Linked DNA regions of Ovis aries. Each later gene encodes a partner of the first gene's protein in a complex. Links are inferred from orthologs where the notes say so. Each region holds a gene or a part of one and is shown on either strand. Other genes may lie near its edges.

Region 1 (4,966 bases):
CAAGGCCCCAGCAGAGAGGAGTGCCAGTCACTCACGGGTCCAGATCAAAGTAGATACGCTGATTGGTGGTCACCTCGCGGCTCAGGGACCACAGTGGGTGCCCAAGCTGCCGAAGATCCCAGCACAGAAGCTCAGCATCCTGAGAACAAAAAACAGGAGCCTAGAATCCACCCTCCACTCCTGCCTCCAAGACACATCTGCTTCCCTCCAGGGTTATAAGCACTCCTTTAGCTGGGTTGACTTTTTTCCCCCATGCCCATCTCCCAACACAGCAGACTACATCCCCACTCCTGCCTTCTACCCACTTGTTTTGGAACCTCAGAATATGATCCCCACCTTGCGGGCTCCGGAGAAGAAGCGATTGCCATCGGGGTGAAAGCAGAGGTGCGTGATGCCCCCTTGGTGTCCTCCCAACAAGGCAAGAGGGGAGCCATCTTCCCAGGTGTACAGGCCCAGGGAGCGGCCATAGGAGCCACAGGCGTAGAGGGGCTGGGTTGGGCTGAAGGCTATGCAGGAAATGATGCCACTCTGGCCCTGCCTTTTTGCTAGAAGGGGAAGGAACAACGTGGGGGAGAGGGCAAGAGTACCCAGCATTAACCAGGCTAATCAGAGGTGTACCTCTGTCTCCTGTCCCAGAGCCCAGGTGCTGGATTCAGTGTCCCCTACACCCCATTCGTTTTCAGCAGGATGAAAACTTCTGATGCTCCCTAAATCCTTCTATCCCCTTTAAAGGACCGAAAGATGCAAGCCCCACTTTCTTCCCTCTCAAATCTCAATTTTTCTTTTTTAAAAAAAATTCCATCTTATTTGTTTCCCCACCCCAATACCTAATAAGCATTCAATTACTGCTTTTGTATTTTCCTTTGACTGCACCACAAGACATGCAGGATCTTAGTTCCCTGACTGGGATCAAACCTGTGCCCCCTGCAGTGGAAGTGCAGTCTTAACCCCTGGACTGCCAGGGAAGTCCCCTCAATTTTTCCTTGGAAGGGTCAGAAAGCTAAGACTTATAGGCAAACGGAATCAGCTTCTCCAGTTTCTTGGAAAAACTAAAACTTTGGGAACCAAGAGGTAAAGTACCAGCAGGGGAGGGGCTCAGGAGTGAACCAACTCTTGACTAGAGTTTGATCTTGGGAAAGTTTTATGCCCTCCGTGAGTCTGCTTTCTCCTCTATCTACTGGGTACAACCTCCCAGGGCTGTGAGGGTAACAACCCCTCAACCCCCTACCTCCGCACATGACCACAGGGCCCCTCTGCTCTTGGCTGGGCCCCTTTCTCTCCTCCCTTGGAGGTGTAGACTGCTTACCAAACGTGGTTCGGACCTCGCAGTCTCGGCCGGGCCGGGATGTGGAGAAGACACGCACAGTCCGGTTAAAGCCACAGAAGAGCTGGGAGCCATCCGGGGAGAAGCAGAGCGAGTGGGCTGCTGTCAGCTCATCCTGGGGGAAGGGAAGGGCTGGAAACAGGCCTGGCGCACAGCCTCTTCCTTCTCCAGGAAGGAGAGCTAGGCCAGGGCAAGCCCTGGGGCTAGGCAGAGAGTCCCTACCAGGTGATTGTAGGAGCGAAAGGAAGCCCGGAGCTCTCCGGTGAAGGCGTCCCAGATGTGAATTGGGTTCTCCCTGCTGCTGCTGGCCACGCTGAGAGAGACATGGACACCGAGGCCCCGGTGCTGTCAAAGGAAGGGGAGGAAGCCAACTGACCAGCCCTCTCAGCTCACATCTGAAGGTCAAAGCAAGCTTCCCTCCTCCTGAGACCCCCACAGCCCCTGGCTGTCTCTCAGCAGAGGGTCCCCTTAAAATGGGGGTGGGGAGGGAAAGCAGGCAAAAGACATCACTTACTAGGAGGTGTCTGGCTGAGCTGAAGACATCAGGGAATACCAGCAGTAGTCATAGATGGTGTCGCCTTCCACCATTCGAAGGACAGGGGCCTAGACAGAGATGAGGAGATGCCTGGGTCACTGGTAGGACAAGGAGGCCCACTCGGACCTGGAGCAGGTTTATGGCAGCGGGAGACGCTCTGTGGGCACTTAACCAGGCAGGGGAAGGCACATCAGGCAAATACAAGAACAAGATCTTGATCTTCCAATTCAAGGCTAGCTCAGACTTTCACATCAGACTTGGGCCACTAAATGCCATACAGATTTATCCTTTTGCTTTGTCAACACTTAGAGAAACAAATAATACCCCAACCCAGAGACAAAGAACCAGCCAATGATGCAAATACCCACCAAGCCACCTACCAGGTGCCATTGGATCCTTTACAAAAGTTATCGACCAGTTCAAACAAGCAAAGAAGTATTAAAACAAAGCCAAACCAAACCCTGTGAGGCCTCCACTCAGCTTAAGAAACAAAATGTTTTACCAAACAGTTAAAAACCTCTTCCCAATGAAATCCTCCTTTAGAGGGAAACACTATCCTTAATTTATCATTCTTGTATATTTCTTTAGGAATATATTCATAGAGGAAAGACAATATATAGCATGGTCTTGCTTGCCTTTAAACTTAATATGAATGGTACCACGCTACATGCGTCCCATCGTGATTATGAGATTTATGGTGACAAACTTAGCTTGAATTCACGCATTTTCCCTGCTTCACAGCACTCCATTCACGCATCGTTCTCTATTGACAGTCACTGATGTTTTTCCAGTTTCTGGCAAGTGCACTTTAACAATCTGGTACACATGTGGGAGGGATTCTCTGCAGTTTCTGCTACTGAGGGAAACCACTGGGCTCCATAGTATGTGCTCTGCCAACTCTACGAGATCGTGTCACTTTTTTTTTCCAAAAGTGCTCATCCCAATTTATTCTCCCCGCAGCGGCATGTAGGAGCACCCATTGCTCTGCCTCCTCTTGCTGTTGCCAGACTCCCATATTTTTCTCAATTTGAAGGCTGTGAAATGGTATTTCATTACAATATAAACTGGCATCTCTCATTACCAGTAAAGGCACTTTTCCTTCTAAGGGCACCTTCTCATAGTTTTTGCTCAGTTTTCTCCTTGGTTGTTGTCTTCGACTTACTGACTTAAAGGAAATCTTCACATCAGCAGGATACGAGTCCTTTGTCCCTTACTTGCTGGCCCTTGGGGTGATGTCACCCAGCTGTGACTGCAGGTCCACATCTCCACTCTTAACCCTTGCATCTGACTGCCTGGAGGAAAGTTCCATTAGGGCATCGCACAGGCTCCTCAACTCAGTTTAGCCGGGACAGACCCAGCCTCTGCTGCCTCTGAATCTGCTGCTCCTCCTGGGCTCTGCACCCGGTTCTCAAGGCTGAAGTCTGAGCACCCTGACTACTACTCTCTTCATGCCCTTTCCTCTCCTGGTCCAATCCAAGGCCAGAGCTTGCCAATTCCACCTCCTAGGTTCACTTGAACATGTCTCCTTACCTCTGATTCCACGTGTAGCCACTACCTTCTTGCCAGCCCTGGCCTCCCTCCTCCCCATACTCTAACCTGCCACTCAATTTTCCATTCTTCAGCCACACTGAGGCCCTGGACTCATGTACCGCATCATTCTCCTGCTCAAAGCATTGCAATGCTTCTCCATAACCCTCAGTATAAAACCCAATCTTCTAGGAAGACTTCCCTTACCAGGCATCTACCCCACACCCACCTCTCCAGGCTCATCCCTCACCCCTGCCTTCTTTCCTGTAACATCTCCACACTCCACCATCCTGATTCCCAGCTCTGAGAAGATGCCAACTCACTGCATTCCTGGGCTGCAGGCTTTCACACACACTAGACTCCAAGTCTGGAACAGCCTTCCCTCATTTCCCCCAACAACTCTTCCTGGTCAAATCCTAGCCATCCTTTGGGTCTCTCAGATACTTGTCCCCATGGGAAGCCTCCTCCTGAACCACGTTCCAAATGCCTTCTGTGTCTCCACTCTGCAAAAGGCAGGAATCATGTCTGTCTTACTTACCACTGCTTCCCCAACACCTACTGAGGAATCAGCACAATCAGCAGTCAAATGTTTTAATGGGCAAATGGAAACAGAAGACTGTCCCAATAACATAAGGCCCAAAATAATAGCACCTTGAATTAAAACAGAGTGAACTGGATAAATTAGAAAGATCAGGCGGACTTGATGGGATTTGGTAATTAATTGGATGTGGGGGTTAGGAGAGGGGGATTAAAGGATGAGACCCTGCTTTCTCGTTTGGATACCTAAGGTCACCAAGATGGTACAAAGACATGGCATGCAGAAGAGAGCTGAGGTGCCAAGGTACTCAGCAAGTCAGGGAGAATCAGACAGCCTAAGCCACAAAGGAACAGTTTTTACAAAGCAGAAAAGCAATTGTCTGGATATAGCATTTGAGAATGAGGACACCCCCTCCCCAACCCGAGATATGTAGGACACAGAGGTTGCACAGTCTCCCCTAGAGAAGGTACAGGAAAGGGAAGGCCTCAGGCAAGAGCCACAGGGTAGGCAGAGTATTCAGGGAAGAGGGGGGGACATAGAAATAGGAGTTCCAGAAAGCTCTGTGAAAAGGTAGAAAAAGGAGGAGAGGAGTTGGGAAACTGTGTTGAGAAGAAGCAGTACACAGATGCACAAAAATACCCCCAAACCGTCCCCCACTTTCCCCACCTAAATAAATGTTATCCATTTCCATACCAAACTTTCAGACGTTAAAAATGAAAATACCATGCCTCAAGGCCAAAACACCAAAACATGAAACAGAAACAATAATGCCACAAATGAAATACAGACTTAAAAAAGAAAATAGCTAATAAGTGAGGTTGTGATAGAACTGGTATACTCATACTGCCAACACCAGTAATAATAATAAAAAGAATAAACAGCATAAAAAGCTTTTGAAAACAAATTGATTATTGGTATTACAAGACATAAAAAAAATACTGATACTCTCCGACCTAGGGTATTTCTTATAAAACTTCTCTGTTTCTCTGAAGAATCTCCATCAAAACACATGGAGATGTTCACTGAAAAATAATTCATGATA
Region 2 (4,336 bases), on another chromosome or scaffold:
CACTTTCCTCAGAGGTGCTCTGATCTGCCACCTAGGAGGCCCCCTTCCTTCCCCAACCCCTAGTATTAACAGCACCATCTCCTCCCCCAGTGTGATGCCTCTGGTGGTGTCTGGTGTTCTCACATCCCTCTAGGTCAGCCCTGAGAGCTCGTCCCCAGGTAAAGTGTCAAGTTTTGAATCGCTAAAGAGGGAGCTGGTGGCAGAGGACCCTCCCCTACCGGCAGGCTCACCTCCATCTGAAGACATCGTCTCAGGTTTGGGCACTAACTGTGGCTGTCTGGAAGCCTCCAGAATGAGACAGGCAGGTCCAGGACCCAGAGAGTAAACTCCAGTCGAAACACAGGGATCCAAGGAAGGGAGGGTAAACATCAGATCAAAACAGAACTAGAATCTAGAACTCAAGGCATCATTCTACAGTGGGGGGAAGGGAGGGGGAAATGGGAAGTTAGGGAGATATTCCACAAAGGACTCTGGTATGTAGGCAGTAACCAGGAATGCCCTCCAAACCAGAGTATGGCGACACAATTGTGTATCTCTTCAGGACAACTTGCCAATTATTTCTCAGATTCCCAACCACGTAGTTTCACATCTTGGTTCCCTATACACTTCTTCACCAATATATCTAGTTTTGTGCCTTTCAATTCTACCCAGTTTTGTACCTGACTTCCTATTAACAGCAGACTGTGGCAAACTCTTGACAATTCAATGTTTGCTGTATTTTCTAAACCAAAATCAAAGCACATAGTCTATATATTTACGGATCAAGTGAACAGAATGTTTCAAATTAGGGTTGTCTCACAATATCAAGGGTGCTGATTTGCTGTATGTATATCATTTCCTTAGAAAGCTGTTTTGCAGTTCCCAAATAGACTATTACCATCACCTCTGCAGTCCACAAACAGCTCAGCCATACCCTGGGCTGAAAAGCTTCCCACTTAATCAAAAACTGCCACTCAGAGTAAAATTCCAAGACCCAAAAGTCTTTTTTGTTTGTTTGTTAAATTATTTTTGTGGTTTTAAATTTTGTTAAATAATTTTAATTTTTAAAATGGGTAGTACATCAGGACTGTTCAAAAGTCAGACTATTTAAAATGGAGTACACAGCAAGTCCACCCCCCGTCCTACTCCTTCTGGAACCAAGTTGAGCTCTTTATGCCGGAGGAAATCAGATTTATTCTGGATCCTCACTGAGATATTTTATACAACTACAAGCAAACACAAACTATACTTAAAAAAAAAAAAACCAACTTTAAGGTTTTTCTGGTTATAAAGCTGCATATATCTTCCAACGTTTTTCGCCATTATAAATCATACCGCAATGGTCACCTCGGTTAATGATATCTGGGTTCCAATTTTCATTTCTTTAAACCAGAATCCTATAAAGAGAATTTGTACGTTCTTTTAAAAATTCGCCATACCTCTAAGAGGCGCATCTTATCACGCTATTATTAGCTACTCACCACTACAGAGAGTTGAATTTGTGGCAGAGACCTGAGTTTGAATCTTGGGTCGACCACTAAAATATGCTTCACCGGTTTCGTAAAATAACTTCACGCTCTTTTCGCTGTGCAGAATATGGAATACCCATCGTGCATTTTTACCGCCAATGTTTGAAACAGGGCGAGAGAACCGGATGTAAAATAGGGGAAGGAAGAAAATCTTCTTTCTTTCCTAAGGTAAAGGAGGCTCTGGATCCTGGAGCCTTTAGTTCTGCAGGTACTAGAAACTCATTGCCTCTGAAATGGGTGTGCATCTTGAAATAAAAACAGGATAGTATTCAGTTATGTTTAATCTATATCCATCCCTACTCCCCTCTCTCCCTAGCAGTACCAGGCCCACAGTGGGCACACTGCACGTGTCGTACAACTCCTACAAGATTGCAACTGGGTTGCAACTGGTCACGTTCTGAGCTAGTGCGCCTCCTTCTGTCCGGCTGGAGAAAAGTCTAGATAAACTGGACTACAATTCCCGGCGTGCTTTCAGAGCGAGACTTCCGGCTGTACAGGAAGGAAATTGACCAACACGTGAGGCCTTCAGTTAGAGGCAGCTGCGGACAGAATTGGAACGTCCTGCTTTAGTGTGATCATGTTTCTCCAGTATTACCTCAACGAGCAAGGAGAGCGAGTCTACACGCTGAAGGTGAGAAGGGTAAACGGGCTGGATGTCAGCTTAGCGATGCATGTCATTGGAAGGAGCGGTCGGGAGAAGACAGTGAGTTGCCTAGCTGCTTGGGCGGGGGCGGGGGAGGGGGCGGGACTAGAAACTCCAGAAGCCGCGCGTGGTATTAATTAATGGAAGCAGAAATGCGTGGCTTCTAGATCTTACCGTCGCGTCTCCTGTTTTCATGTTTGCCGTTTTTGCGCGGCCCCTGATGTTGAAGCTCAAACTCCAATGCGTTGGCCACCTGATGCGAAGAGCTGACTCATTTGAAAAGAGCCTGATGCTGGGAAAGATTGAGGGCGGGAGGAGAAGGGGAAGACAGGATGAGATGGTTCATCACCGACTCCATGGACATGGGTTTGGGTAAACTCCGGCAGTTGGTGATGGACAGGGAGGCCTGGCGTACTGCGGTTCATGGGGTCGCAAAAAGTCGGACACGACTGAGCGACTGAACTGAACTCCCCATCCCAGCCTCCATCTCCCTTTTGAGGCCAGGGATTGCGTTTTCCCACCATTCCAGTGCTGAGATTATGTTCTTTCCTCCTCGAGCAGAAGCTTGATCCTATGGGACAACAGACGTGCTCGGCCCACCCTGCTCGATTCTCCCCAGACGACAAATACTCTCGACACCGAATCACCATCAAGAAACGCTTCAAGGTGCTCATGACCCAGCAGCCGCGCCCCGTCCTCTGAGGATGTCTTAACATTTCATGTGTCTTCTGCTGCCTGCCAGCACCCAAGAGACTTTCTGCAGCCAGGCTCTTCAGTCTGTGAGCCTGGAAGCTTGCTCCGACCCTTGCCCCTCGAGTCCGGTCTCATCTTTGCCTTCGATCATGCTTGTTGTGAAGCAGTCATGGTAGCATCCCCGTCCAAGGGAGATATCTGAATATTTTCGTACTTTGAATCACTGCCAGGTTATTAAAATGATTTCAAAGAGCTGTTATTTTGTATGTTGTGGGAAGAAAGGAGTGGTTTAAAAAAAAAAAAAAAAACGAGGGAAACGAGAGGGAAGAGTACCCCAGGGATACAAGACCACTTGGAAGAGAAACTTAGGCGACTGCTGTAGCAGTCGTGCTGTGCTGTGAGTCATAGCAGGGTGCTAGGGTAGGGGAAGAAAGCTTGAGAAAGACTTGTGCAACTGTTAGCATTAAGTAAGAAATACCCATGTTGTCAGTTAAGTAATTTTTTGTCCCTTGAAATGAAATTTCACTCAAAATGGAAGAGTTGCTTGAAAAATAATAGCAGCTATATGGGAGGAGGAAGATGTTGAATTGGAAGCCAGAAAATGAGTATTCACCCCTCTATAACTCTGAGAAAGTCAACCTGTTTAGTTCCGTTTTTCTCATCATTCCTAAGTACTCTTCCACCTCTAAAATTGATAGAGTTCAGTGATAGATCTTAATTCATCCAACCATTGTGAATAGGAATGTCTTTATGCATTTTTACTGCTCCTCTGGAAATATCTTGGAGGGTTTTCTTTTAATCCTGGAAGATTTCTTAGGCCATGAGCTTCTATCATGGGGCAACCATAAATTTGTAATCCAATTTCTTCATAGCATAGGGATGATGAGGCAAAATACAGGCATTCAAGAAATGATTGCTCCTTCCTCTCCTTAAGTCAGTTGGGTACTTCCTGAACTTCTTATTTGTGGCTTTTGACATTGAATTGAATGTTTGCCTAGTGCCACTGTAACGTACATCAGCCCAAATTTGATTTATCAAGACTGGCCCTGGAAAGGGGTAAATATGTTTCTCACTGATGCTGATGTCTGACTGTCCCAGCAGAAAAGAATAGTTGACTGTTGAGAGAAAAAAGAAAAATCTAAAGACTTGGGTCATACGTAGTTAATAAAAGACATGATTTCCAGTTCTATTACTTATGAGAATGGTGAGATGGGATACTTATTTTCTGTCAAGCAATTTTTGGTTTCTTAGCCTCTTCACTTATGGCTCTTAGTATTAAAGAGATTGTAAAAGCTTGTCCTGTCCTATTAGAGGTTAATGTTTGAAGAAAGGCTAGAAATTCTGCAAATGACTAGGGAAAAAGGTTCTGCTAAGGAAGTATTTAAAGAACTAACTTCAGGGGAATTCTTGGTGGTTAGGACTCCCAGCTTCCGCTGTCCCTGGGGTGGCAAGCTGCTGCATGGGGTGGCTAAAAAAATAAGCAAATCCTATC
Region 3 (5,554 bases), on another chromosome or scaffold:
TTCCTTCCCTGTTCACCTGAAACTACCACAACACTTTTAACCAGCTATATCCCAATACAAATAAAAAGTTTAAAGTCTGAAAACAAGAGTACTTGTTTTTTATGTAACGGCTGCACTTGGTTTCAGGGTTAAAAGTTCAGGTTTTCAGTTGGCTTAACTGTCCCCTGCCGTCAAGGCCGCCTGCAGACTTTTAAAGTACCACTTTATGGCCTGTTCCAGTGCCACGGAAATGGCCCGCCTACCACCACATAATCAAAGGCAACTGATGTATAACAATGATTCACTTCCCTGGTGGCTCAGTGGTAAAGAATCTGCCTGCCAATACAGGAGACGCCTGTTTGATCCCTGGGTTGGGAAGATTCCCTAGAGAAGGAAATGGCAATTCACTCCAGTATTCTTGCCTGGGAAATCCCATGGACAGAAAAGCCTGGTGGGCTATATCCATGGGGTCACAAAAGAGTCAGACACGACTTAGCGACTAAATAACAACAAATATTCATCCAACGTTCCAAGACAGAGTACAAGAAATAAGTCAGAGGTACAAGACCCACCCCGGTCTAGGCCTGCTGACCTCCCCAGCACTGTATGTGTGTGTTAGTCTCTCAGTCGTGTCCGCCTCTTTGCGATCTCCATGGACTGTAGCCCTCCAGGCTCCCCTGTCCATGGGAGTCTCCAGGCAAGAATATTGGAGTGGAATGGGTTGCTATTTCCTTCTTCACGGGATCTTCCCAACCCAGGGATCTAACCCGGGTCTCTCTCATTGCCTGCAGATTCTTTACCATCTGAGCCACCAGGGTAGCCCAATTAATCCTCTAGAGTTAACTGCAAAAGCGCCGCCTACTCTGCACACTTCCCCACCCTCAGCCCGTGTTCACACTTGTCTTCCCTCTCAGCGGTCTCCGTCATGCCTTCTGTGGGTGTGATGCCAGGCAGCGGCGGGAACTACGAAGAAAACAAGAGGGTTAGAGGATGCCGGCGGGAGGCAGAAAAAGAACTTTAATTTGGGGTACGTTGGTCAGGAGAATCTCTCCCGTGTTTAACAGCTGAGCAGATTTCTGCGGGAAGGGTGGTACCGAGTTCTCCGAAGAAAAGCGGTCTAGACGGAGGCGCTTAGTGAGTGAATGGTTCCATCCCTTGCCAGTAAAGAGAAAGCAGAATGTGAGAACCGTGCTAGAACGAAGAAATCGCAAGCAGTGCCAGGCTTTACCTTAACCTTGGCACCTAGGGTACAGCACCCAGGACCAACTCAGGACCTGGCACGAGATGGGGATCGGAACTGCCCAAGTGAGGGATCAGATTCTGAGGTTTGGAATCACACCGAAGACTTCCCATTCCACTACTCTGGTCGCAGACCCCGCCCTTTAGGCAGGGCTCCAGTCCGCTTAGATGCGGTCACGCCCCTACAGGTACAGCTTCCTCCTTGCTCCGCCTACACCTGTGACGCTAAACTCTCACACAAACCCAAGCCCGGATCCTAGTCCCTCTTCGCCTCCTCCAGGGCCCGCCTCCTTCCGGCCTTCGCCCCTCGCCTCAGAGGCCCTCCGTTGTTGTTGTTTAGTCGCGAAGTTGTGTGCTGTTCTTTGCGACTCAATGGACTGTAGCACGCCTTTCCTCTGCCTTTCACTATCTTGCCGAGTTAGCCCAAATTCACAGCTTGCTTGCCGACTGGTGCCCTAAATCGCTTCCGCCCCGCCTGCATTGTGGGAGTGGCCCCGCCCCTACGGCCAAGACTCCACCTCTCGGCGCTCCCTGTTTCCTAATTGGCTATGTCGCACTGCCTCTTCACGCAGAGTAGCATGACCCGGAAGTGATTTCTGAAGTGCCGGCCACGTGGACTTGTGCCTTGAGTGCTAGGTTGCCACAGTCGCTGCCATGACCAAAATAAAGGCAGATCCGGACGGGCCGGAGGCTCAGGCGGACGCGTGCTGCGGGGAGCGCACTTACCATGAACTGCTGGTGAATCTGAACCCCATCGCGCAGCCTCTGGCTTCTCGCCGCCTCACGCGGAAGCTCTACAAATGCATTAAGAAAGGTGCGGTGGACGCCGAGCCGGGGCGGCACGCGGGTGGCAGGCCGAGGCCCCCTCCGACTGATTGTTCTGTCGTTGCAGCCGTGAAGCAGAAGCAGATTCGGCGCGGGGTGAAAGAGGTTCAGAAATTTATCAACAAAGGCGAGAAAGGGTAAGAATCCCCCCTACCCTCCGCCGGATTTCGAGGATGGTATCCTGCTGCTTAACAGGTAGTTGGTAAAAGTGCTCCGACTTGGGTCGTATGCAGAAGATACATTCCCTTCCGTACAGATGTCGATACCACTTACAAGAGCTCAAAGGGACACCTTGGGGAAGGTGAATTCCAGGGGAACCAAATCGTATAAGCCAACTTCCTTAGGATTGATCCCAGCTTCATTCACTTAGCGACGATTTACCGAGTGTCTACTGTTTTTCAGGCACTGTGCTATGGGGAGACAATGGCAGTAATCAAATACACACAAAAGTACAAGTTGTCATGGGTAAGCATGAAGGAGAAGTACAGGGTGCAGCGAGAATGACTTCATTATCCTACAGCTTTCCTTTTTGGCATTTTTCAGGATCTGAAAACTATTTGCATTTTTGTTCCCTGTCTCTCTCACTCAGGCCAGAAAGTAAGCTTTTTGAGAACAGAATAAAGCCTCTCACTGCTTTATTTTCAGAAGCGCCTGGTACGTTGTAGGTGCTCAGGAGCCAAATAATGCTGGGAGGATTTGGTGCTCTATGGAGTCTGACCTAGGTGGGGTAGCTGAGGTCTGAAGATATAGGATTCGTTTGTGGCTTCCAGGTTTGGGGGGCATTCTGCCAGAAGAAAGTAGATTCCAGGGCAGGAGAGGGTGGTAGTGGATAGAAGTGCTACCTTCTCATGGGACTCTAATAAGCCATTGTAAGTTTAGTTTTTGTACTCAGGAGTTTTGGAAGCCAATGAGTGTTAAAGTGAGGGATGACATAATTATGTTTACATCTTTAGAAGGTTTTTCTGGCAACTTTGGAAAAGATCAGAGGTGGAAAAATAGATGGAGAAATTGAGATAGGTGGCTACTCAGGTGCAGAAGAGATGAGAGCAATTTTGATTGGGTTATTGATGGCAGAGATGGATAGAATTAACGTGGATGGATGAGAGGACTTTTGCATACAGAGTGAGGAGGTGTGGGCTCCAGGCAGATGGACAGAGGGCCGGTTCACTGAGACAGTGAACAGTGAGGGAGCCAGATTTGTATGAGATCACAAGTCTGGTTTTAGACAAGTTTTCAAGATGCCTTTTAAACATGGAAACCCTCTCCCTAGCAGAACTATCAGATAGGCAGGTGGCTATATGGGTGTTCAGTTTGGGATAGGGTTGGGTTGGAGAGAATAGATTTGGGAGTTGTCAATATACAGTTGGCACTTGAAGCCTTGGTTACAGATGGGGTCAGCTGAGAGAACGTACTGACAGAGCAGAAAGACCAGGCTGTGGGAATACCAGCATTGAAAGGCTTCTCTGGAATTTCTGGGCAGTCCAGCGGTTAGGACTCCATGCTTCCACTGCAAGCGGGCCAGGGTTCCATCCTTGGTTGGGGAACTAACATCCCACAAGCTGCACAGCACGGCCAAAAACAACAAAGGCTACTCAAAGGAAGTGGAGCCTGCAGAGGAGGAGAGTCTATGAGCCAAAGGAAAGCTAGGGAGTGTGGACATACTGCTTTGAACCCAAGAGCTCTTTCCTTGCGGTTTCCTCTCCCCTAGAACAGACTCTTCTGCTGTCATCAGGGCTCCTGAGGCCCTTGTCGCAGAACCCCATCACCTGGCCAGCTAGAATAGTTACAGATTCTCTGGCAAGCTTTCCTTGGTTCCCTATCACTCTTAGGAATGAGCCTTGAAGCACTCAAGACCCTTACATGTGACTAGTTTTTCTAGCCTTCTTGTCAGCCTTATCTCCACATCCTGGATTCCAAAGCCATCCCTGGCTCCCAACAACAGCCATCCCCTGTGTATCTGGTATCTTTCTGATTCTCTCAACCTTAAATGCTTTCCCTGCCCCCAGCCCCTCTATGGGCTTCCCTGGTAGTTCAGTGGTAAAGAATCTGCCTGCCAAGGCAGGAGATGCAGGTTCAATCCCTGATCTGGGAAGATCCCCTGGAGAAGGAAATGGCACCCCACTCCAGTATTCTTGCCTGGAAAAACCCCATGGACAGAGGAGCCTGGCGGGCTATAGTCCATGGGGTCACAAAGAATAGGACATGACTTAGTGACTGGCAGCAACAAAGCCCCTCCATGGGCTGCCTGACAGATGTCCATCATTCAGCTTTCCTCTAAAGTGTTTTTCCTGATTCCTTTCTTGATTGTCCAAGGAAAGCTGAGCTCTTACTCCTTAGCATCTCTCATACTTCATCTGTCCCGGTACAGTACCTTTTGTCACACTTGGTGGCATTTACTTGTTGCCAGGCAACAGAGATCACCTCCCCAGAGGAATGCACTCACCAAACAAATCTGAATGCATTTCTTGAGTTTGGGAGACATATATGATGGGGCTCCTTGAGGGCAGGGGCCTGTTTACCCATCTCTGTAACCCCCAAGGTTCAGCTCAGAGGCTTCCCTTATGACTGAAAAGGGAACCAGCAAGCTGGGAGTGACAGTGATTTCTCTTATTTCAGGATTATGGTTTTGGCAGGAGACACATTACCCATTGAGGTATACTGCCATCTCCCAGTTATGTGTGAAGACCGGAATTTACCGTATGTCTATATCCCCTCTAAGACGGTAAGGAGCCCTGATCTTGGTCAGCACAGAAGAGGGCCTGGGATCAGGTTGGTGGCAGCAGGTCATAGTGGCAAACAGCATGAGCTCTGGAGCTAAAGACAGGCCTGGATGGATTCTTGGCTCTGCTGCTTCCCAGATGAGGGAATGCAGATAAGTCACCTCTCTGTACTTCTACTTCCCTGTAAAATGGGACTGTGGGAATGAAACAGAAGGTGAACTTGAACGTGTCAGTCCTGTTAGTGGGTGCAATGTTCAGAAGGGATGTTCTAGGGACCTGCAGCTGTCCTTATCCTTACATAGCAGAGGCCAGGTCTGGGCTCCAAGGGGTGGGGAATAGCAGGGCCCTGGAAAGCATAGGCCCTGCTTAAGGGGACAGCCCCTACTGAGCTGGAGCTCTTTCACAATTGCCCTATGGAACTGTAGGCCCAGTGTCGCTGGACCACAGCTTGAAAGTCTGATGAGTTTAGATGGTGGCAACCAATTCAAAATGTTAACATTGGCTGACTAGCACATGTCTGTGGGCTGCATTAGGCTGGTGGACCATCAGTTTGTGACTCCTTGGTGCACAGGTTGTGTGGCCTTTGTTCCAAACAGCCTTTCTTCCTTCTCTGCAGGACCTGGGTGCAGCCGCTGGCTCTAAGCGCCCCACCTGCGTGATAATGGTCAAGCCCCACGAGGAATACCAGGAGGCCTATGATGAGTGCCTAGAGGAGGTGCAAGCCCTGCCCCCACCCATGTGAAGGAACTTAGGCACAACCTGGGCACCTGCTCCAAAAACAGTTGGCTTGG
Region 4 (4,966 bases), on another chromosome or scaffold:
GCGCGGTGCGGACCACGGCGCAGCGGCGCACGCAGTACGTATTCTCCTGCGGCTGCAGCACGTTGGCGATCACCTCTGCCAGCCTGTCCTGGGGGAGGGCATCGTAGGCCCCCACCACGTCCGCCTATGTGGGAACAGGGGGCCTGAGGACACGTTCACCCCTAACCCCGAGTTTTGGGTCCGGCTTGTCCTGACCTGCCATCAGCCAATACTGGGGTGAGTTGAACATGAGGGATGGGCAGACCCTGTACCCCCATCCCTGCCCCCCGGGGGCTCTCTCTGAGACTCCCCTTGCCCTGGACTCTGAGCACCCCTCGGACTGGCCTGCATGCTCTCTCTGAGCTGCAGGCTGGCATCCTGACGACCAGGGCACAACACAGGGCAACCCGCCCAGGGTCCGAGCAGCTGTCTCCTTCCCTGGAGGGAGGGCAGGAGCCCCGGGGAAGTGGGGTGCACTCCCAGAGTACTCCAGAGGCACAGAGCCTCTGCCCCGGGAGCTGGGCCCCTGTCTTGCAGCTCACAGAAGCTGAGAGTCACGTTTAACATGGACGTGACCCCACCAGGGGTGACCCATCCTGGCACACACGGGGCTGTAGGAGGCGGTCACTTCCCACATCAGCTGGACCAGACCCACAGGGTCACCTGCAGCCCTGGCTCTCTCCACAGGGGTGGGGATGGGCGCCCACCTTGACGAAGTAGAGCGGAGGGGCTGGGCCCCGGGCCCTCAGGGGCAGCACGAAGGCCCTCCAGGCCCTGTGGATGTCGTCCATGCCCAGCACCGAGGCCCCCAGGAGGCCGGGACGCCGAGCTCGCTCGTAGTTCAGCACCGCGAACAGCGTCTTGACCCGCGAGCTGAGATGCTGCACCTGCGGGCCCAGCCCAGACGGGAGTGTCGCCAGAGCAACTATGGCCAAGGGGACTCGGGGTCAGACAGCCCCAGGGGTCATCCCCAAGGGGACACCAAGGGTCAGACAGCCCCCAGGCACCGTCCCCAAGGGGACTCGGGGTCGGACAGCCCCAGGGACCGTCCCCAAGGGGACACCAAGGGTCAGACAGCCCCCGGGGGCCGTCCCCAAGGGGACACCAAGGGTCAGACAGCCCCCGGGGGCCGTCCCCAAGGGGACTCGGGGTCAGACAGCCCCAGGGGTCATCCCCAAGGGGACACCAAGGGTCAGACAGCCCCAGGGGCCGTCCCCAAGGGGACACCAAGGGTCAGACAGCCCCCAGGGCCGTCCCCAAGGGAACACCAAGGGTCAAACAGCCCCAGGGACCGTCCCCAAGGGGACACCAAGGGTCAGACAGCCCCAGGGGCCGTCCCCAAGGGGACACCAAGGGTCAGACAGCCCCAGGGGCCGTCCCCAAGGGGACACCAAGGGTCAGACAGCCCCAGGGGCCGTCCCCAAGGGGACACCAAGGGTCAGACAGCCCCAGGGGCCGTCCCCAAGGGGACACCAAGGGTCAAACAGCCCCAGGGGCCGTCCCCAAGGGGACACCAAGGGTCAAACAGCCCCAGGGGCCGTCCCCAAGGGGACACCAAGGGTCAGACAGCCCCCAGGGCCGTCCCCAAGGGGACACCAAGGGTCAGACAGCCCCCAGGGCCGTCCCCAAGGGGACACCAAGGGTCAGACAGCCCCCGGGGGCCATCCCCAAGGGGACTCGGGGTCAGACAGCCCCCAGGGACAAGGGACAGGTCCCTGCTCTCTGCTGCCCCCTGCCCACCAGCCCCCCTCAGACCCCAGAAAGACCATATGGCCAAGCTGTCCACACCCACTTCAGACCCCGGGTCTCCCCAGGGACCCATCCTCGGATCACGGACACCACTTGTGGAAAAGGCAAGCAGCCAAACCCTGGGTCCCTCCCCTCGCCTGGTCCCCCCACCCAGCAAAAGGGACGCTGCCTCTTGGGGGACACCCCCACAGCGGGTGAGCCATGCGTCACTGCTCATGGACAAGCCCCCACCAACAGTGACGGCTTCTCTTTGTCACTAATGGTAGAATCACCCCAATCACTCCAGGGGGCTCTGGAAGGGGCAGGAGCTGCTGGTGACGCAGGGATGGCGGGGGGGGCGGTGTTGGGGGACAGTCACAGGGGCCAAGCACAGGGGTGAGTTCCTGGGGACCCCAGCAGGCTGGTAACAGACGTCACATACCCCTCTGCCCGGCATCCCGAGAGCACAATGGCCCCCTGGGGGATTCCAGGAGACGGGGGCACAGAGGGGTCTCGGAGCCCGGCTGGCACCCTGCAGGACAGGCCTCACTGGGAGCTCCTTCTCTGGACCTAGGAGTCCTCTGGCCATGCCCCCTGGCTCCTCAGGACCTCACCGCAGCCCCCAGACACCCCGGGACTTTGGGCACAGCCACTGGGCCTGGGTTTCAACGCGCTTGGCCCAGAACAACGTGAGCAGCGACCTTCTTGTCTCTGGGCGGCGCTGGGGCGCCCTCGACACAGCCCACGTTCACGATGGGCCGCAGCCCGCCGGGCTTGGGGACGAAACGGAGCCTGGACGTCAGCAGGGCCGGCCTGGCCTCCTGGTGCTGCCTGACCTCTGCTTCTGACAGCTCTCGAAGCCGCACACGCTCCAGGTGTTGTCTGAAACAGAGGTGCCCGCAGGCAGCCAGGGCAGGTCAGCCTGGTGGGTGCCCGTGCCCGTGCAGTGGGCAAAGCTCATGGCCGGCATGCCCGGTTCCTGGTGGACAGAGCTCAGACCAGAACTGGACAGGATGGCTCGCTGGGGAGACCCTGGGGTCTGGAGTGGGTGTGGGCAGCTTGGCCATCAGGTACTTCTGGGGTCTGAAGGAGGCTGGTGGGCAGGGACCCCACGTTCTCCTCCTGGAACAGGCAGGGGGTGCTTGGTGGAACCCCTGGGAGGAGCAGAATCGTCTCCCCACGGACCAGCCGGTTCCTTGTCATCTGTAAGCTTCAGCCTTCACCCCAAAACCATCCACAGGGATGGGCAGAGGTCCTCCCACCTCTTGGCCGTTGCAGGGAGTATGCTCCCTGGGCTGGTGGCCCCGAAGGAAGCCCGTGGCGGGACTCGAGCGTCCACCAGGCGGGGGACAGGCCACAGGGGCCCCACAAGAAGAGCTGGGCTGCCCACTTCAGTTTACATGTCAGGAAACGCTTGAATCGGGTGCCTTCATTCAGACCCACGGTAAGGGCCTCAAGAGGCTCCCCAGATGCCAGAGGACACGGGCCCCGGCCCACGTGCTCAGGGACCCCGATCCACTCCTGACTCAGGGACCCAAGCCCATGTACTCAGGGACCCCGGCCCACGTGCTTGGGGACCCCCACTTAGCTCCTGACTCGGGGACCTCGGCTCCGCCCCGACCCAGAGCACCTCCCTCGCTCAGACGCTCAGCCAAGATCTCTCGCAGAACGCCTGGAAAGGCCCAGCTCTTATCTCAGGTGGCTCCCCAACCCGTCCCGGCTGGGTCCCTGTCCACTGACAGCCACCCAGGCCTTCACAGAGGACACAGACGGCAGGAGGGGACAGAGCTCATGGCTGCCGCGCGGGCACTCAGCCCCTGGGGAGCCTGCTTCACGGTGCCCCCAGTGCCCCCGGCGGCCGGCGCAGACAGGCGGGTCCGTGCGTGCAGGCGCGGGTGTCCCCCCGCGTACCTGACGCCCAGGCGCTGCAGCTGGCTCCAGACGCGCTTCCGGAAGAAGAAGAGCCGGTTCTTCTGGAACGTGGTCTCCGTGACGTAGAAGAAGCCCCTGAGCAGCTCCACCACGTAGGCGCCCATCAGCCAGCGCAGGAAGCGGCCCAGGACGGCCTCCCGCCGGCGGTGCTCTGCGGCAGGCACGCGGCAAGCCCCTGGGAGGAGAGAAGCCGGTGCTCGCCCTCCACGCTGCCCCCGCAGGCCGGGATGGTTGCCCACGGCCTCCGAGTCCACAGCGACTAGGAGCAGGGGGCAGAGAAGGCGGGTAACTAGGCAAGGAGCCTCCCCAGATCACGGGCTAAAGTGATGCTACCAGATCGCTGCACTTTGATAGAAAATGTTTTTAAATGAGGTTCCCCTTTCTTTTTCCTCTTGCGGCTACTGGAAAATGCTGAATGAGTCATGGCGCTCACGTATGCTCCTGCCGGACAGCGTGGACCCAGAGCCCCAGCACTTGTCACTGCGCACACAGACTAGGGGAGCCGGGGCTGCTGTCCCCGGGGTGGGGGGGGATCAGGGGGGCTGCGCTGCAGTTTCAGGCATCACCACTGGGCCGCAGGGGCTGGAAATGCCCGGGGGGTTGCAGGCTGAACACGAGGGGCACGTAGAGGCGGCCCCGAGTGCTGAGGAATGCCCAACGCTGCCGGCTCCGGACACACGCCCCGCGGGCCTCTGTGGTTTACGCTGTGCCACAGGGGCCTCAGCGCTGACAGAGCCAGGGCCTCACCGGCAGAAACCGGGTCAGAGGACAAGGAAGGGGGCCTGGAGGCGGCCTGGGGCAGGACGGTGAGTAGCCAGCGAAGGAAAGAGGAGGGGGTGAAGCCACGCCCACACGGACTGCGAGGGGCCAGTGAGAGCAGGGCTGGCTGAGCCGGAGACAGTTCAGCTGCGATCCGATCCCAACACGCGAGGCTACGGCTGGAAGGAAGCCACCCCGAGGGCGACGGAGAGCACACAGCTAGCTCTAGACGAGACACCCACACACACACGTGAAAAAGTGCACACCGGGAAACGGAATAAGAACGCAGGAAGAGTGGCAAATTGGGAGGATGAGAAAGACGCGCCCAGACCGGGTCAGCACAGAGAAGTGTAAGGCCAGGGGAGCCACACAGACGGTCAGACGGGATCGGACAGACGCGCAGAAGGTTGGCTCAGGGCCGCGATACGGCACCTACACTACGCGTGCTCACGGGACAGGAGAGGCTGAAGGTAAAACCCAGATAAGGGCAAACAGCATGAGCAGTAAACACTGGCGAGTGGGGAGGCAGGGAGACAGACTTTAAGGTAAAGAGAGTCGCTAGACACTC

What was found.
Region 2: WRAP53 (region 1) and NOP10 share a complex: the UniProt entries of both Homo sapiens proteins name them as parts of the telomerase holoenzyme complex. The link is inferred for Ovis aries from reciprocal best matches to the Homo sapiens genes WRAP53 and NOP10.
Region 3: WRAP53 (region 1) and NHP2 share a complex: the UniProt entries of both Homo sapiens proteins name them as parts of the telomerase holoenzyme complex. The link is inferred for Ovis aries from reciprocal best matches to the Homo sapiens genes WRAP53 and NHP2.
Region 4: WRAP53 (region 1) and TERT share a complex: the UniProt entries of both Homo sapiens proteins name them as parts of the telomerase holoenzyme complex. The link is inferred for Ovis aries from reciprocal best matches to the Homo sapiens genes WRAP53 and TERT.

What each region holds. Positions count from the first base shown.
Region 1 is NC_056064.1:27,214,661-27,219,626, reverse strand, and holds part of WRAP53 (telomerase Cajal body protein 1), read right to left. Parts: intron 1,928-4,966; coding exon 1,839-1,927; intron 1,638-1,838; coding exon 1,547-1,637; intron 1,440-1,546; coding exon 1,307-1,439; intron 546-1,306; coding exon 337-545; intron 140-336; coding exon 36-139; intron 1-35. UniProt on the Homo sapiens protein: RNA chaperone that plays a key role in telomere maintenance and RNA localization to Cajal bodies. Specifically recognizes and binds the Cajal body box (CAB box) present in both small Cajal body RNAs (scaRNAs) and telomerase RNA template component (TERC).
Region 2 is NC_056060.1:26,485,827-26,490,162, forward strand, and holds NOP10 (H/ACA ribonucleoprotein complex subunit 3), read left to right. Parts: upstream 1-2,035; 5' UTR 2,036-2,085; coding exon 2,086-2,139; intron 2,140-2,712; coding exon 2,713-2,853; 3' UTR 2,854-3,096; downstream 3,097-4,336. Other genes in the region: NUTM1 (NUT family member 1), read right to left, coding at 231-369. UniProt on the Homo sapiens protein: Required for ribosome biogenesis and telomere maintenance. Part of the H/ACA small nucleolar ribonucleoprotein (H/ACA snoRNP) complex, which catalyzes pseudouridylation of rRNA.
Region 3 is NC_056058.1:36,949,847-36,955,400, reverse strand, and holds the start of NHP2 (H/ACA ribonucleoprotein complex subunit 2), read left to right. Parts: upstream 1-1,824; 5' UTR 1,825-1,872; coding exon 1,873-2,032; intron 2,033-2,110; coding exon 2,111-2,180; intron 2,181-4,659; coding exon 4,660-4,765; intron 4,766-5,379; coding exon 5,380-5,505; 3' UTR 5,506-5,554. UniProt on the Homo sapiens protein: Required for ribosome biogenesis and telomere maintenance. Part of the H/ACA small nucleolar ribonucleoprotein (H/ACA snoRNP) complex, which catalyzes pseudouridylation of rRNA.
Region 4 is NC_056069.1:71,193,165-71,198,130, reverse strand, and holds part of TERT (telomerase reverse transcriptase), read right to left. Parts: intron 3,815-4,966; coding exon 3,619-3,814; intron 2,590-3,618; coding exon 2,409-2,589; intron 867-2,408; coding exon 687-866; intron 125-686; coding exon 1-124. UniProt on the Homo sapiens protein: Telomerase is a ribonucleoprotein enzyme essential for the replication of chromosome termini in most eukaryotes. Active in progenitor and cancer cells. Inactive, or very low activity, in normal somatic cells.